2 linked regions of the Drosophila melanogaster genome follow. The protein of the gene in region 1 interacts with the protein of each later gene in a pairwise test. Each region holds a gene or a part of one and is shown in the gene's direction. Other genes may lie near its edges.

Region 1 (9,530 bases):
TTAAAATCTTACAAACATTTCTAACTTTTTCATATCGCTCACCATCGGATATAACTTGTGACGATGATGGTAGACATAGGGATCCCTTCGAATCTGCTGGAGCAGCTGCCTTATGGACGCCTCTTGTTGGACAAAGGCTCCACACACAAACCCGGTTACTCCCGCAAGGGCACATAAAGCCCACTGATGAACATTTGATTCGCTAAAGGACATAAGTGGGCCTTACAATAATTTCGTGTAGTGTTTCTTTGATGAAGTGTGTAATGTAACAATTTGTCGATATGTCAGTCGGAAGAAGATAGCCTGCTTGCAGTTAAGTTAAATATATATTTAACGATTGGGATCCCTCCACTAACTGAATTCGCGAAAAACTCGAGATTCACTTGGATAATTGCTGCCGAATAGGGCACTCCTTCTCAAACCATCGAAGAACTTGAGACCTGCGTAGTGCTCAATCTCCCGGATGTCGCAGAGAAACGATCGTAGTGGCAGACCATCTGGTATTGGAGCATTGGGCAGGACATAGCCCTCCATATAGGGTTTACCCAGGTGCAGTTTTGATTCCACCATGATCACCTTGAAGAAGTGCGTCGGAACTGCAACCATATTCAGTCCGATCATCTCGTACTCCACGGCCCACTTACCTCCCGGTCTTTGATTGGGCTTATATAGTGGACCAGTACACACGAAAACGGATCCAAATCGGTGGACCAGATTTCGAACATATTGTTCCAAGTTGTTCCACGCGCTTCGGTTGAAGCCCTGGCCCACTTGTGGGGCAATATTCGTTAGGAAAAACGTATCCTCGCAGTGATTCTGTTGCAGATGGTGATTTCCTGCGGCTGCCAAGTGTCCTCGGTCGAATCCAGATCTCCGATAGTCGCTCAGTTCCGATCGGAAGTTGGAGGGAACACTCAAATCCGGCTGGTATGGGTTGCGACCACGTCTGCCTCGATTCGGATGTATGCTGTCCGCCTGGAGGTGCTCGCACACCCAGTGGGCCACTCGGTTTCGGCGATCGTAGGATAGTACGAAGTCACTATACAGACGCAAGTCATCCAGGCCAGGGAACCCAAACTTCATGATCTGCCTCATCCGGTGATCGTCTTCATTATTGCTCTCAAAGAAAGTAAACTGGTTAGGGAAATTATTTTGGTGCAAGTGTTACTTATATTCTTTTACTACAGTATTGGTTACCACTTCATAAATTTTGGGACTGAGATAGTAGGCATAGGGATCCGTTTGTATTAGTTCCCGCAGGCGTTTTCTGGCATCTGTGTGCTGAAAATACATTCCACCCACGAAGGATGCACAGAGCGCAGTCACTCCCAGGACGAAACCCAGTCCCAGGAGCTGCCATTTTCGGTCCATGAAATGGGCTCTGTGAATTACCCCTCAAAAGCAAATAAAACATTGTTTATCTGAAGGATTTCTCATGGCCATCATTGTCTCCTTCAACATATATGTATTTATATTCTATTTTGGAGAAATACTTGATGTGAGGGCACTGTGACTGTCTAAGGCATTAGTCATCGGCAACGTTAACGGATTTGTTAAAGGACCGTTTACTGAGGGGACAAATGAATTTGATGCTTGGGTGTTGACAAAGTTGCGGTCGAGTCCTTCAAAGAACCGTAGACCAGTAGCGTTTTCTATTTCCCGGACATCGCTGAGAAGCGTCTTCAGTTCGACATTGTTGTTCAGCGGAGAGTTGGGCATCACATAGGCCTCCGCATAGGGAATGGTATCGCCCGCGAACTTCTTATCAATGACCAGGATCTTGAAGAAATGGGTGGGTACGGCCACCATGGTTCTCTCCTCCGACTGGAACTCCAGGAACCAACTGTTCGACTTTAGCTCCCGGGGCAAGTAAATTGATCCGGTGTAGGCATACACGGTTCCATGTCGTTGACTCATCTCATGGACGTACTGCAGCAGTCGATCCCAGACAGTGAGATTGAACCCTCTGTTTAGAAAGGGCCTAATGTTGGACAGGAAAAATACCCTGGCTGCCTCCGACTGTCCAAATGCTCCAGCTGGAGCCACGGATGTGGAATCCCCGTAGACGACGCGATTGGACAGATCTACCCGCTCGCACATCCACAGAATCGCAGAGTTTCTTCGATCGAAAGAGGTCACAAAGTCAAAGGTCTCATTTATGGTGATATCATTGGTGCTGGGGAAGCCGTACTTCATGATCCCGCCCAGCTTGTGGCAGTCATCGGTATCCACGTCGAATTCTGAGTTATCAGGGCGCACAGCGAAAATTCCCAGCTATAGATATGTTTAAAGGGAGTAGAGTTCGCTAATATATATATTATCTGAATCCTTAATCTATTTCCTTACCAGTGCGTACAGTTTCCTTCTGATAAAGTAGGCATGTGGGTTTCGTTGCTCCAATCGTCGAATCTTTCGCATGACATCGATGTGCTGATAGTAAGCTCCTAGTGCAAAAAACGATCCAGCAGTGGCCAGAATACCAATAATGCCCTTCACCGGCGCTTCCATCGATCCTTTATATCAAATCCTAGCAATTTTGTCTTATAAATTAGAAACAAATTCGAAATCGGTAACTTGTTTATTGTGCTGCAAGTAAAAGCTATGAGTTGTGTGTAGAAACTAACTTGGTTGTGCCTTAAATTTGAAAGTACTTCCCCCAAAAACCTGACTTTCCTGCAGTTAATCTTTAAAGTTTCCGTGTCCAAGTTCAGACCCGACTGCACTTGCCAACTGCATTAAGTCAATAGAAAAAGTTGCAGTCATCGTTGTAGAGCTAAAAACTAAAAGTCCCCAGGACAAAACATCCCCCATTCCCCCATTTGCTGCCCCCTTGAACCGCATAATAAGCGCTTTTTGGGGCTACGCCTGACTAAACCAAAAGCGGCGTCAAGATTTATTCTCGGAATCTCGTCGTACTTTGTTATGCTTAAAAATGTTAGTTGTGGATTTACAGTTTTTCCGTTTTGGCCAGAAAACTTTTCACCCTCCGCTCCGAAACTTTGATCGGTAGAGTGATGAAAAAGTGGACGAGCAAGGGAGGTGGGATGTTGAATTGTTGTTGCCAAAACTATTTAAATTTAAACCATATTCCAATGAAGTTATTGAATTTTCCGATATAGGCAAAAGGCAAAACCCTTTCACTTAAATCTCTGCGAAACAGTCTTTAAGTTAAGCTCATTCCAAGCTGGGCAAAAACTTTTTCCGACACATGACAAGGGATTCAAAGTGCAGTAAATTTGTTCGGAATGGAAAACTGTGACCAAGTCTCTGAATTTTCCTTTTCCAGGAACCGAATTCAAATTTCACCCTCAGCCGCAGGAATTCTGCACCACATCCTTCATCCATTTCAGTTGGTCGCGAGGCATTGCCAATTAATTTCCAACATCTAATTGGTGGTTGGCCAAATTTATTGGTCTCGTGGTGGATGGGCTGTTTGCCCTGCCCCCCCAGGATCTGTTTGCGTATTGATTGATGCCTGGAGGTCCTTGTGCCAATCTGAGGTGAACTGCATACCTTGTCGAGGGCTCAAGTAACTCGCTTTGCCCCTCGCGGATTTTCTAATCAACAAGGCAGCAGCCCAAATTTGCATAATTAAAACGTTTTCATGTGGCGCAGGTGGAAGGCAAGAAAGGCCACAAGAAAACCCACCCGCCCCAATTTTCCATTTTCTTTGCCAGCCGAAAAACTGACTCGCTAAGTGACTGAAAATTTGTCGCCTCATTTGAGTTTGGATTAATGAATTATGCACTCGGGGATGCTTAATTAAGCGGGTTTCGAATGTGATTAGGACCACGCAATTAGCCGATAGGTCTGAGCATTTTCGGGATCTGCGATAAGCATTCGCGCTGACTGACAGCCATAAAAACGTGGCCCCAGGATTCGGAAAACCATACTCATTACGCTGCCTTTTTCTGTATTTTACAGCAGGTCAACTTAATGGGGTAATTAACTTATCTGGGTTAAGAAAGGATGGATCGGTTAACCTTTTATGCGTGCCAATTAGCGCCAGAAGGGCTTATGGTTTTGTATAATCATAACAATTTGTCGGTTTTTTAAGGATATTTACTTAAAACTGCATAATACACTTATAATTTTCATGAGTTTTTGTTGTTTTAAACAGATAACAGCACTTTATATTTCTTTATACCTCTAATTTTCAAGATCATCAGCCTGCTAACCTAATCGATACTCTCTATAAGGAAGTATAATGATCTATGAGGAGAGAGAGAGAGAGAGAGAGAGAGTGAGCGAGCTGCGATGATCAGTTATCACTGGAGTGAGTAACCCACTGAGCGTAGACTTGGGGTCGCCGCGCTCTCCGCTCCGATTCGGAAAGTGGAGCTCGCAACGCTCGACCATCGAGAGATTGGCGGAGAGCTGTGTCAGTTGGTTGCGCACGCACCAGTCGACCGGTCAGATCTGCGGCTTATTCCGCCGGCGTTCGAAATTTATAACGGTGGAGATCGGTCATCGGACGCACTACACTCGATCGGTCAGAAGCCCCGAGGGAGATATCTTGGAACAGCCATGATCTCGCAGCTGGGACGGATTAGCATCATGAGTGCGGTGCTTTTGGCATTTGCGGCCATCGTATTTGGTGGGTAATATTCACACATTTCAAGGTCTTATCACAGATCTGTGTAGAAATTCATTTGATTGATATATTTTTGGTTTGCTTGCTATATCGTCTTTAACTAGCCAGCAGCTCGGAGAAAACCGAACTCGATCCCAATGCCACCTGCAACTACACGCTGGTGAAGAAGAAGACCTTGGGGGTGGATCCCTCGTTCTGGAAGAAGTTCTTCAAGCACCTCATACCCTTCACGAGTTCGAGGGGCAAAATGCAGTTCATACTCTTCAAGCGGGACTTCGCGGACTGCGGAAGGGAACTGTTCGTGGGCGATGTGGAAAACCTGAGGAACTCGGGCTTCGATGCACGTCATCAAACAAGGTAAGGGGGATTTCCGGGAAGATTAAAGCCCCGATCGAATGGGGAACTTTGCAGCGAAGTGAGTGTGCCACAATCAATTCATTACACTGAACGGTGAGATAATGGCTAAAAGCTGTACAAACCTTTCAGCTCGCAACAATTGACAGTGTATTTAGTATTCATACTACCACTAAGCCCCAGAAATTAATGTGAGAGCAAAGCACCAATCTAATGAATAGAACCAAAACAAATATTTGCTAGATTCTCTCACCAAATAATTTATTTTTTATATTTCGCGACTAACACGAAAACAGGTTTCTCTGCTTTATATATTTACATTTTTTGGTTGAGCTTTCGTTTGAATTATCGCCATTGAGTCATTGCCATTGGCCTGACAATTGATTTATTGCTAATTACAAGTTAATTCATTATAATAGCTAACAGATAGTAATTGCACAAATTTACACCAAATACGCCAAGCAATACACCAATTTTGCATTAAAAGATAAGATATCAGGCGAAGTTGATATCATATATACATAAATGAATTGAAATATGTTTATTTTAAAGGGAATTGCTATTAGTTTAGTATACATTGATATATTATATTGACTTTCCTGACTGCTTATTTTTAGGATAGTCATTCATGGCTGGATGAGTCAGAGCAAAGGTTCGCATATAAGGAAGGTTAAGAACGCATACCTCAGCCTGACCGATCCGGGACCCAACGGAGAGCCCGCCCCCTACGAGGACTTCAATGTGATCGTATGTGACTGGAGCAAGACTTCCACGAACGTAAACTACTACGAGGTGGCCAAGACGGTGGAGGACATGGGAGCCCTGCTGGCGGAACTGGTGCGCTATCTGAACCAGGAGGCGAACATGCACTACGACGACGTATACGTCATTGGACACTCTCTGGGAGCGCAGATCGCCGGCAGTGCTGGCAAGCAGATAATGCCATATCGATTCAACACCATATACGCTCTGGATCCGGCGGGTCCACAGTTCCGGGAGAAGAGCGACGAGTACCGAATCGATGCTAGTGACGCCTCCTATGTGGAGTCCATTCAAACCAGCGTTAGCTTTGGCTTCGAGCAGCCCGTGGGACACGCCACCTTCTATCCCAACTATGGGAAGAATCAGAAGAAATGCTATGTCTATGGCTGTTCTCATAAGAGATCCCATGACTACTTCATAGAGTCGCTGACGAGTCCGGCGGGATTTTGGGGACCGCGCTGCGAGCGTCACGATGATGGCACCTGGCTGCTCCTAATGAGCGATGGAGAGTTCCGGATGGGCGGGGAGCCCTCAATCCCCAAGAACGGAACTTTCTATGTGAAAACCTACTCAAAGCCACCCTATGCCATGGGCCACAGGTGGCAAACGGAACCGCCTCCACGGGAAGATGATATTGAGAACTCCACGGAAGAGTAGGATATTAGTTAATATGTGTACATTTGTTGATGAAATAGAAGTTTGGTATTTATAATTGGTTATTTTTCTTTTATAGAGAATTTATTATAAATAGTACACCTATTTCTAGAAACATTTTTTTAAGTTACTTCTTATCTCGCAACAACGTGAGCCAATTAAGTTTTATGGCGAACTATTCACAAAGAAAAACCATCTAGCGAGTGTGTAAGTCAGCTGGGAATAACTATTAGTAACCTAAACTTCAAGATAGGTATATAAACCTCACGAGGCACGGAAGGCTTATCCACTCTTTCCACAATATTCAACCGAAAATGTTCCGCGCTCAACGTGTTTGCTTTTACTTTATAGCTTTCCTGGCCTTCGCAGCTGCCAGACCTAAAATAAACTCGCAAATTTCCCAAAATCAAGTTGGATTTCGATTGTCCAATGTTTTGACCAAAGAAAGTGTTGCTTCCAAGTCATCAATGTCCACAGAGGCAACCAGTGAACCATCCACTGTGACTTCTGACGTGCCCACACTAACTTCACCATCATCATCATCATCTGAGGAAACTAGTGAAGCACCTGAAAGTTCCAGCCAGCAACTATCACCATTGACTGAAAGCTCCAGCGAAAAGGTATTTGAGGTGACCACAGTACCTTCATCTTCGTCGGCGGAAACTAGTGAAGCATCTGAGACTTCTAAGGCATTCACCGAAACAACCACCACCACGGAAAGTGACGTGACATCTGAAGATTCCACCGAAGATGAGTCATCTGAAGATTCCACCGAAGATGAGTCATCTGAAGATTCCTCCGAAGATGAGAGCTCCGAATCAAGTGAGGAATCAGAGGAAGGATCGTACTACTATGATGATTCGGAATACGACTACTACGATAGTTACTTATATTATTGATTCATCGCGTTACCATTAAACTTTATGTCAGATCGGAATACAAATCTTTTTGAAGAGGCTTGAAAATTTAGTAAAGTAAACAAAATGAAGCTGTCATTCATACTGGGTCTTGCCGTTTTTAGTCTTTTGGCTTCTACAGGAGCATTGCCGGTGCCTCAAGCTCCATTGGTTATGGCATTGGTCACCAAACCCGAAATGGATATTCCAGATATTGATCTCTGGGCCAGGACTTAAAAGGTGAGCAGAGATGCCAATTTTCGACGCCAAATCTTGATGAAACGTTTTAGTTACAGGATACTTTAGACTGCCTTCTGCACACTGTTTTTCGCCCTGATTCGCTGCATATTTGGAAAAGAATTTTTAATTAAAACAAACAATATGTTACCCAAATTGTTGCTGCTGCTTTTGGAGCGCCGAAAAGCTGTGCAAAATTGCACATATTGGACAAGAGGCTGCGACGGGTTGTTGCTAATGCATTTACTTGGCTTAATTAGTTGAGATTCTACATTATTCATACGCCACGTGTGACCAGCGGCCACCCACTCGCCTGCAAATGCCCACCCGCCCAATGTGCTGATGCCTGCCGTCTCCTTCTTTTCCTGACAGCATCATAATTTTCACTTAATTAAAGTTGTCGTTGTTGAGGGTGCTGAGTTTGAGGTTTAGCCCGGGGAGCAGTTAGAGAGTTGTGGCGGTGCATTCGGGTCGAAAGTTGGGCGGCGGGGGAAAAACACGGTATTTGTACTCACAAGTTTTCGCTCTTAATTTAATCCAGTCTAACTACGAAAGTTTTCGAATGCCTGGGTGGTAGTTTGATCGCAAGAGCTGGTTATTAAAATATCTTACGGTTTCGGAGGGAATTTGAATGCATATGAAAAGCACCTGGAAATATGCAAATATTTTCACTTAAAGAGATTCAATCCCTTCAAAAGCTTACCTACTAAAGTCGGAAAACGAAACACAATACCAAAAGTATTAAATTTCTCACATATTTCCGAAACACAAAGACATCTCCGGACAAGCTCACAAAGTTGACAAGCCGAGACAATTAAAGTTTGGCATAATCTGTTGATTGGCTTAATAAATATCCAAACTCACTTATCGTAATTGTTATCCTAAAGTGACAGATTGACGGCAAAGCCAAATGGAAGAAGAAATCCTTTGAGGTTCCGGACGAAAGGACAGCTCGGTTGAATCTCAGGTGGAAAATGGATTCACTTAAATTTTATGCAAAATCATTTATCCTTTTTACCTTTTGCCCAAATAGTTGGCAGCCCGATTTCGATTTGGCCCGAAGTGGTTTCTTTCGATTGATGATTGTGTGTGAATCCCCGAGGGCACAATATTTGCCCCTGAATTTGATTATTTAAATTTGCACATTCGTTTTCATGGCGCATAAATTATTTATGAGCCCAGTGTGTGGTAGCCGGCAGTTCCATTATGGCATTCTAATTAAGGCGGCCCACAGAATGTCTCCCAAGTTCATTGTAAGTAAGAAGCCCCAACTAACTGATGTCCAAGGGATGCGCATTGGAGCCTCAAAAATTCACCGTAAAATTCAGGAGCTGAGCACTTCGAGGACAAACCCTTTTGCGTTGACAGCCTGAACACCAATTTGTCGCCCTGAAATGGACCGTGTGAAAGCCTCGGAGTGCCATAACTTTGCCGATGTGTTGGGTGTTGAGATTGTCACCCCGGAAAACCCAAAAAAGCCAAAGAGACAGAGAGGAAAAATTAAAGCGAAATCAGGTTTCATTTTGCGGATGGCAAAGGGCTGCAAAAGGACGCCAGCCGAGATGTCCTGGCAAATGAGTCCGATACGAAGGCGATGACAATGACTTACATTGCTTGAAATCCGAGCAGCACAAGGACCTGCAGGACACCCAGTCCACACACAACACTCGCTTAAGTTCATGTGCACACGCACTTAGGTCAGCAGATATCGGGCCGAAAGTTTTACTTACAGATATAACCCCCCTCTATATCTCTGAATCTCCATGTCGCCGATGCCATTTGTGCAATTTTATAGCGTTTTTATGGCACACAAGTTTTGTGCTTTGTGCCCTCTGTCGGCGTGTCCTGAGTCCTGCGTCCGTTTTCCTCTTTAAAATATTCAAATTTGATGTGTGTGCGGGTGGAGTGGTTGGGAAATCCGGCACTTCTGTGTGCTCAACTGTGTAATAGAGACGGCCATCTTCAAGTCACGGGAAAAGGTCATAGGAAATGTGGGAAAACGCTTGGGGAAACTCGCTGGTATCTAGAATGTT
Region 2 (7,946 bases), on another chromosome or scaffold:
GGTTGCCAGGAATTTGCACCTGCATGTCTATGTCCCTGTTACAAACATATATCCACCCCAAAGGACACGATAACCGCATTGGGCTTAGTCGGCTCATGCATTTTTTACATCGCGCCGTTTGAAAATCCTCTTGCGAAAATTTCGTTCAACGTTCGCGGCTTTTTCTACACACGAAAAAAAAACGATATTCCTTTGGAATTTGTTACATGTAGCGAATTACTTCTTGGAAATGTCTTAGTAGAGTTTTGTTTGAAGTGTAGTTTTGACGAGCCCACTGCATATTGCATGTTGTTGTGGTCACTCGGAAAACTTGTGGCAAATTATTGCATCAACTTTGGCCCGCTGCTTTTAGTTTTTGTTGTTCTTCGCCGCAGGTACAAAGTAATGGAATATCTGAGTACGGCCAGCGCATTAACCCTCCGATGCATCGATCCGTACCGTAATAATCCCCAGCTGACATCCGCATCGAAATCAGTGCAAAAAATCAACTGCATGCCCTGCAATTTCAGGTATTTGCGACGCGACGTCGCCAATTAGATTTGATGACCATTTGCGTTCCGAATGCTCAAATGTTATAAAACAAAAGTCCAGTGGGGCGTTATCCTGCAAAGCGAAAAAGAATGTTAGGAAATGTCATGCGAATTGTGCGACGGTGCAGCCCCCAAAAGGCGGTGGCAATCCAATTCTGCCACATGAAACTGCAATTTGCATGTCTGTCTGCTCGTGTCCTCGGCTCCCGACCACCCATAGCCCAACCACTCGGTTAAGTAATTGCCTCCCAGCGCGGAAAATGGTCAAGCAACAAGTTGAGGTTGATTATTGGGAATATTCGCATGGGCGGTCGCTTTGTGTAAGTGCAGTTTACCCCTTTTACCTTTGGCTGTTATGCATTTGTTTGTAAACAAATGCCCTAACCCCGGATAGAGTGGGTGCAATGTGGCATCGCATTGGAAGTCCTTTCGCTCGGAGCGGGAACCACGCATGCGCCATTCAAATTTCCCGCCACAACTGTTATACATGAGTTTCCCCTGAGGAAAATCCTGAGGGAAATGGTCAGCGATTGGATGCACTAGAGCAATACCAGAATGATCCTTAGGTTTAAAAGAAAACGGAAGCCAGCTGGTCAAGCTAACAAAATGTTGAAAAGCGATACATTTATCTCAAATGAAATATTAGTCCACTGATGACCATAGCATAATATCATATTAAAATGGAAATGAAAAGTGGATAGTTATTAGCCAAGAAAAAAAGTACAGTTTCTCCTTGGCGACCCAATTAAATCCCCCAACTCGAAGCACCTAAATGACCAATACAACCAACTCACACCACTTAAGACACATTCATTTTTGGCTAATTAATAGGCCGTGTGCTAATGGAATTTTCCCCACGATAAGGCAAACCAACCAATAGTCAATCGCTCAAGAAATTACCATTAGGCCCATTGTCACTGGAATATGTTGAATGAAGGCAAACGAATTTATTTGATTTTGACCGCGGTTTCTTGGATAAATATTGAAAAAGCGTAATTAGCGCAGAACACATAATAATGCACTCGAGTGATTAATTAGCGAGGCCAACTCATACCAAAATCATTGACCATCTAAGCGCTTTTCAGCCACTAACGATTTGCTCTCAAATTCTCAGCACGCAGTTGGCATAAAAGTCGAAAAAAGAAATTTGCAATCAAATTGGAAGACCGCAGCGAATAAAAGCCACCGGCTAACTGACCATTTCGGTTTATTGGGTGCACAAATATTGAAAAGAAATTTGCGCTAAACGCCTCAAATTGCCAGGCCTGATAGCCACACGTATCGAAATGGCAATAAATGCAAATGAAAAGCTATAAACACGATAACCAGGCCTACGTCTGTCCACCCTTAACCCATAACCCTTAACCCTCTCTCTCTCTCTCTCTCATTCGAAAGCAAGGGTTATGGTTATGAACACCCGATGTGTGGGTTAACCAAAAGGCATTTTCAATAAATACCAATTATGATGAGCACAGCCTATTGACCATTTAACCGGGCATTCGACTTTGGCAGTTTCGATTTGGGCATGCGAATTATTGTCGAAGTTATTATTCCCATGTTTTCGTTTTGTGGGGTGGAACATATGGCCTTTTTTTCAGGTGGGTCATTCCATGGCCCATTTATGGAATTATGCCATGGCATAAAAATTTGATGAGCTTCAACTTCACAAGTGCCTGGATCCCAATGAAAAGTTTACAATAAACGAGACCGGGGAATTTCCATGATTCGAAATCGCGTGGGTTCTTACGCAAGTTGGGAACTCGCAGCCCCATCCCCTCCGCAGACCAAACTCCATCTATTTTCTATCCAAATTGTCAGTTGGCCAGTTGGCTCCAACATTGCATGTCTTGGCATACGTGGGCCATGAAAAATTCATGGCCCGCCTTCAATGTACTGCCACATAATTAGACTGTGGGGCTGCCAAAAAAATAAAGGTTGTCCTGAAAGCAGGATTGTTAATAGATACCCTGCGGCAAATGAGTGTCGGCAATAACTCGCACACTTAAATCTGAAAGGGAAAAAGTTTATAATATTTTAAAAACTTTTTTTAAAGAGTTCTGATAATTGTTAAATATTCAATCCTATTAAAAACATATATTTAATAAGTAAGATACATATACAATATGATGTGTTAAAAAAATGTATCATAAGATACAATACAATAATTGCTGTAATTACTATCACATGATCACAAGGCCAAATATACCCCTGACAGATCCCACTACACGGTATCCAAATGGAGCACCTGCCCTGCTGTAGGCGATTAGCTTTGTCTATTCGCCGTCGCTCCAAAACCCAATAGATGTGGTCTATAAAAAACAATGCCGCAATCGTTTGATTTCCGCACCAAGATTGCAGCCATTCCAGGTCCTGAAATTTGCGCGCTTATCACTATAATGTCGATTGGTCAGGGCAACCCCCTCAGCACCAAAAGCCCCCCGGGTGGGCCAAAGGGGGGTCGTTTCGCGTAAAGGTCATTGTGTTATTAGTGCCGCTGCACTTAAACTAACGCAAAAGTACCACCATTTATATTATTTATGCCGCATATGGGATATCCTTAGTTGGAGGACTCTTGAAGGTTCTTCGCCGGGTAATTCCCATAATTTGGCTAAATATAATCTAGATTTTTATTTTTAAAACCGAAGAAGGATTTACTTGGCGTCCAGTGGCAAAGTTTTCAATATAAAATGCCCGTCACGGCAACTAATTGAATGCTATGTTTTCCATGTTGTTTTGAAGGCCTTTCGACTGGGGTGTACTTAGCAAATTGCTTGTCCTTTGTTGCATAATAAATGGAATGTAAACACAAGTGCGCCATGAACCGAAAACACACCGAACTTGGACTCCATTTTTTTTTGCGCGGCCAGCAAAGAGGTCAGCATTACAAATGGAGCACCTCCCAACCATCCATCCAATCCGGTAATTTTGGGCCTTTGTGCGATTGACACACGCATGTCAGGCCCCATTACTGGATCTCCATCAGGCATTACCTCCTCCTTACCCTACATCGCCAGTTAATTCCATTGGAAATTGCGCATTGCCGTTTGGATTTTCCTTGCACCTGACGCACCAATCGAACGCCCAACCACCCATTTACCACCCCCCCCCCCCCACACACACACACACAAAAGACACACGCCCATCCATCAGAAAAGATAATTTACCGGTCGGCCATATCGATCGTGTGAAGCTCGCAACGCTTTTCCGTACCTCCTTCCCGAATTGCGTGCCGTGATGTTCAATTTTCCGTAGAGTGGACAAACGAAACCGCAAATGGAAAAACTAAACCAACTATTTTAGCCGCCAAAGGGGGCGGGGGGCGGGGCATTTGGCCATCGGCGGTCTTTTGGGTTTGAGGTGACCAACATGTGTGCCGCATACATGAATTATTAATTGACAATTGCCGAAAATGTCCATTAACCGGGACAAAAGGGAAGGAGCACGGAATTGGGGGTGGGATCGGGTGCCGGGAAAATTTCAATTCCAGGCTAATGAAAATTATGGCAAACTAACCCCGTTTTTCCGTCCACTGGCAGGTGTTTCCATTTTCCTTAGCAAACTTCTAAAGAGTCGATCGGCTACTATGTCAATTCATTGTATGTAGAGATACTTTAATGCATAGTTCATTTGTAAAGTTAAGTTACTAAAACGTATAAATAAGAAATCTTGTGATTGAAAGGAGTTGAATTTCATATATATACCTTTAAAGGGTATCCACAATTCGAAAGACCCGAAAACACTCATGTACAGTTGCAAATTACCACTTCCTGTGGACTTCGCTTGCACTGTCAGTTTTGTGAACATGGCTAATTGCTCTGGTTTAATGTGGCACGCTCTATTGGCCAACTGATCGTTTTTGGCCGAAATATATTTTCTATCAGCTTGGCATCAATGTTCATTCCCCAGCTATTGGGATGACAATTATTTCTACGTTTAAAAGCGACAGTCAAAAACGAGGCACACGCATTAAGTACCAGGCATTATATAATAAATCTCCCTACAAGTGTTACAATAGACCCACAGCCAAAACAGCTGAACTAACAACAAGAGTTGGTCAACGAAATAGCCGGTTTTGAGTGAGAGAGCCGCTTCTATTCACTGACGTGTCATTCAACTCGATCGAGAAATTGTGGAGACGAGAACTTCAGAGCATTTCAGACTACCAGAGAGTCCAGAACTGAGTGAGTTGGCCAAAGCAGCCAAACAATTTCAGCTGAGCGAAGCGTAAACTGGCCCAAAACTCGAACTCGAATACAACTTTACCGCTCTTCTCGCGCTCGTTTTTAGCCAGTTTGCGCTGACAAACGGCAAGAGTAGGGTCAAGTTCAGAAGTCTCTGGTTTTTGCCACGAAGATGATGCATATTTTGGTGACTCTGCTCCTGGTCGCTATCCACTCGATACCCACCACCTGGGCCGTCACCTGCACGGGCTGCGTGGATCTGGATGAGCTGAGTTTCGAGAAGACGGTGGAACGATTTCCCTACTCCGTAGTGAAATTTGATATCGCATATCCGTATGGGGAAAAGCATGAGGCCTTTACCGCCTTCTCCAAATCTGCCCACAAGGCAACTAAAGATCTGCTAATAGCCACCGTGGGTGTCAAGGACTATGGAGAACTGGAGAACAAGGTGAGTTTTATTTTATGGATTACCTAGGATTTAGATATGTGGTAATGATTGGAAAAAATGTGGTTTCTGCTCTGTTCATTTGGAATCCTGGATTGCAGCCTAAAGCTTGGATGCCCTTCTAAAGACTCTGTGCTATTTAAATTATTTAAAAGCACTTTAAATTTGATTTATTTATTATTTCAACTTTTTAATCCCAATTTGCAGGCCCTGGGCGACCGTTACAAAGTCGACGACAAGAACTTCCCGAGTATCTTCCTGTTCAAGGGCAACGCTGATGAGTACGTCCAGCTTCCTAGCCACGTCGACGTAACGCTGGACAATCTGAAGGCTTTTGTCAGTGCCAACACACCTCTGTACATCGGTCGTGATGGCTGCATCAAAGAGTTCAACGAAGTGCTCAAGAACTATGCCAATATCCCCGATGCAGAGCAACTGAAGCTTATCGAAAAGCTGCAGGCCAAGCAGGAGCAGCTGACCGATCCCGAGCAGCAGCAGAACGCCAGGGCCTATCTGATCTACATGCGGAAGATCCACGAGGTGGGCTACGATTTCCTGGAGGAGGAGACCAAGCGACTCCTGCGCCTCAAGGCCGGCAAGGTCACCGAGGCCAAGAAGGAGGAGCTGCTGAGGAAACTGAACATCCTGGAAGTCTTCAGGGTTCACAAGGTCACCAAGACAGCGCCGGAAAAGGAGGAACTGTGAACTTGTTAGATCTTTAAACAAAATTATGAATACTTTATGATATTTATAAATGTCGGATCTCGACAGAAACATGTGAATGTACAATTTATACGAATTATAAGTCTATCATCCAAATAAAGACAGTTTTTTATGTTGAAATGCCTTGTAGTAATTAAATCAAACTATTTTATTTCCACTCCTCATTGCCAGTTAACAAGTCAGTTAAACACAAATAAGCCTTCAATTTATAAGTCCTCTGGTACATGCATATTTACATTTACATAGAACTTCGTTTTACCATTAATTAGAAAGTCTAGGCGTGATAAATAATCTCCAGAGGGAAATGGAAGGGGTAGTGAAATGCGATGAAAATCGTTAAGTACCACCGTACCCTGCAAATCGACCAAAAAAGGATATATAATTGTATATTATTTTGATTAAAAACCTTACCACATACGGGCAAGAATGGTTGATGTTGGATGCATCCTTTATCATATTATAAACTATTTTAATGACGGGATTATTTGGTTTTCGCAAAAATTGGCAGGCATCGACGGTGATATCGAAAAGAAAAGGCTTGTAACCATTGGCCCTCTTCAGCATCTGAAATCTGACAGATATGCTATTGATTGGATGCAAAAAGGTTGCATTTATGTGCAAACTAGTCTTGGTCCTGGAATAGGCCTTCAATCGACAGTAATGAAAAACGGTCAACGATTTATCATATGATTCACAAACAACATTTGTCATTTTAACCATAGCCGAATCCTAAAGAAGTAAATATACTTTCTACATTTTATTAAAAACAATATCGGGCAATCTTACGCTGTAAACCAAAAAAACGACAGCCACAAAAACTCCCAGAATTATCACATTGGCCAGCATGTCCGACAAACACAAAAATCAATTTAAGACTGTAATATAAACTATGAACTAGGTGATGGTAGTTCAACACATAATTAAGATATACTTTTCATAAATATGTTTACCTCTTTAATTACACAAAATTGATATATTAGTCAGCACAAAACGATTCAGCGTGTTTAGGTATACCATTTAAAATAGAAACTTAATATAGTAATGCTTAAAAAACATTGAAATCAGATACAAAAAGTTACCTATTGCAAACTTTATGTTTTAACCCAGAAATGGCTGTCTTTGAAATAATCGATTTGTTTCATTGATTAATTTTGCTGTCTTCTGATTTGATCTGAGTGATATATTGTGGGTTGTCTTGTACTGAAGAGGTTATTAAAATTCAATTTCAGTGATGGTAGCACGATATCTGATGTATTTTTTAATTATACAAAATTGATTTGATATGCAACAATCATTACGGTGCTAGTTTTGCGTTCATTCGAATATATCTGCTACATATCTGCTCTGTTTTAGAATACCCTTAAATGATAAATAAACTGTCTAAAACCGAAGGTATATATTAGTGTTGAAGCACAAAAAATAGCTTCAAATGTAAGCAGATACTAATGAAGTTGTATATTAAGAAAAACGTTTCCAAAAGCTTGGGCAAATATGACTTAATGATGCAAGTGCGGTTAACTAATAATATAGGTAATAAATTGAAATTGTGTTTTCGTTGAGGGTCATATTTGCAAAAGCTGGTAGCTATGTATGAGCGAACTAGCGAAATCTATTAAATAATTATATTTTCAAGATATCTTAATCAAATAATTATGTTTTTCTTAAACTGTTTATTAGCTTCAATAAGTTCAATTAAGAACTATAATGTTCATAGAAACGGGTGGTCAAAAATCCTCCACAAAGTTAAAATAAATATTCACGTGAAACTGCTTCTTAGCATAGAAGATGAAATCTAGTAACACTCCATAGTCTCCTGAAGGTAATGGTACTGGAAATACAGCGGTGTGATAATCGCTAACCACTTGCAAGCCCTAAAAAAATGATTAAAGTTATTAAATTTGCTGATGGCCAATATGGCGTAACCTAACTTACCACATAAGGACATGTATGATTTAGTGTAGAATAATCCTTTATAAAGCTATAAAACATTTTTATGACGGGATTATGTCGTTTTCGCAGAAATTGGCAGGCGTCGATTGTGACATCGAAGAGAAATGGCTTATAGCC

The links. Proteins that work in one complex are often made in the same cells at the same time.
Region 2: the proteins of CG4267 (region 1) and wbl interact in a two-hybrid assay, tested with the Drosophila melanogaster proteins (one large-scale study listed by BioGRID).

Annotation. Positions count from the first base shown.
Region 1 is NT_033779.5:2,237,995-2,247,524, forward strand, and holds CG4267 (uncharacterized protein), read left to right. Parts: upstream 1-4,383; 5' UTR 4,384-4,527; coding exon 4,528-4,597; intron 4,598-4,698; coding exon 4,699-4,951; intron 4,952-5,565; coding exon 5,566-6,367; 3' UTR 6,368-7,280; downstream 7,281-9,530. Other genes in the region: Tengl3 (testis EndoG-Like 3), read right to left, coding at 43-213; Tengl2 (testis EndoG-Like 2), read right to left, coding at 352-1,134, 1,198-1,371; Tengl1 (testis EndoG-Like 1), read right to left, coding at 1,477-2,274, 2,347-2,508.
Region 2 is NT_033778.4:19,244,942-19,252,887, forward strand, and holds wbl (windbeutel), read left to right. Parts: upstream 1-4,453; 5' UTR 4,454-4,883; coding exon 4,884-5,159; intron 5,160-5,363; coding exon 5,364-5,861; 3' UTR 5,862-5,976; downstream 5,977-7,946. Other genes in the region: CG33454 (uncharacterized protein), read right to left, coding at 6,086-6,232, 6,294-6,608, 6,666-6,725; CG33453 (uncharacterized protein), read right to left, coding at 7,604-7,750, 7,815-7,946. UniProt on the Drosophila melanogaster protein: Probable chaperone protein involved in dorsoventral axis patterning in early embryos. Probably acts by folding and targeting pipe (pip) into the Golgi.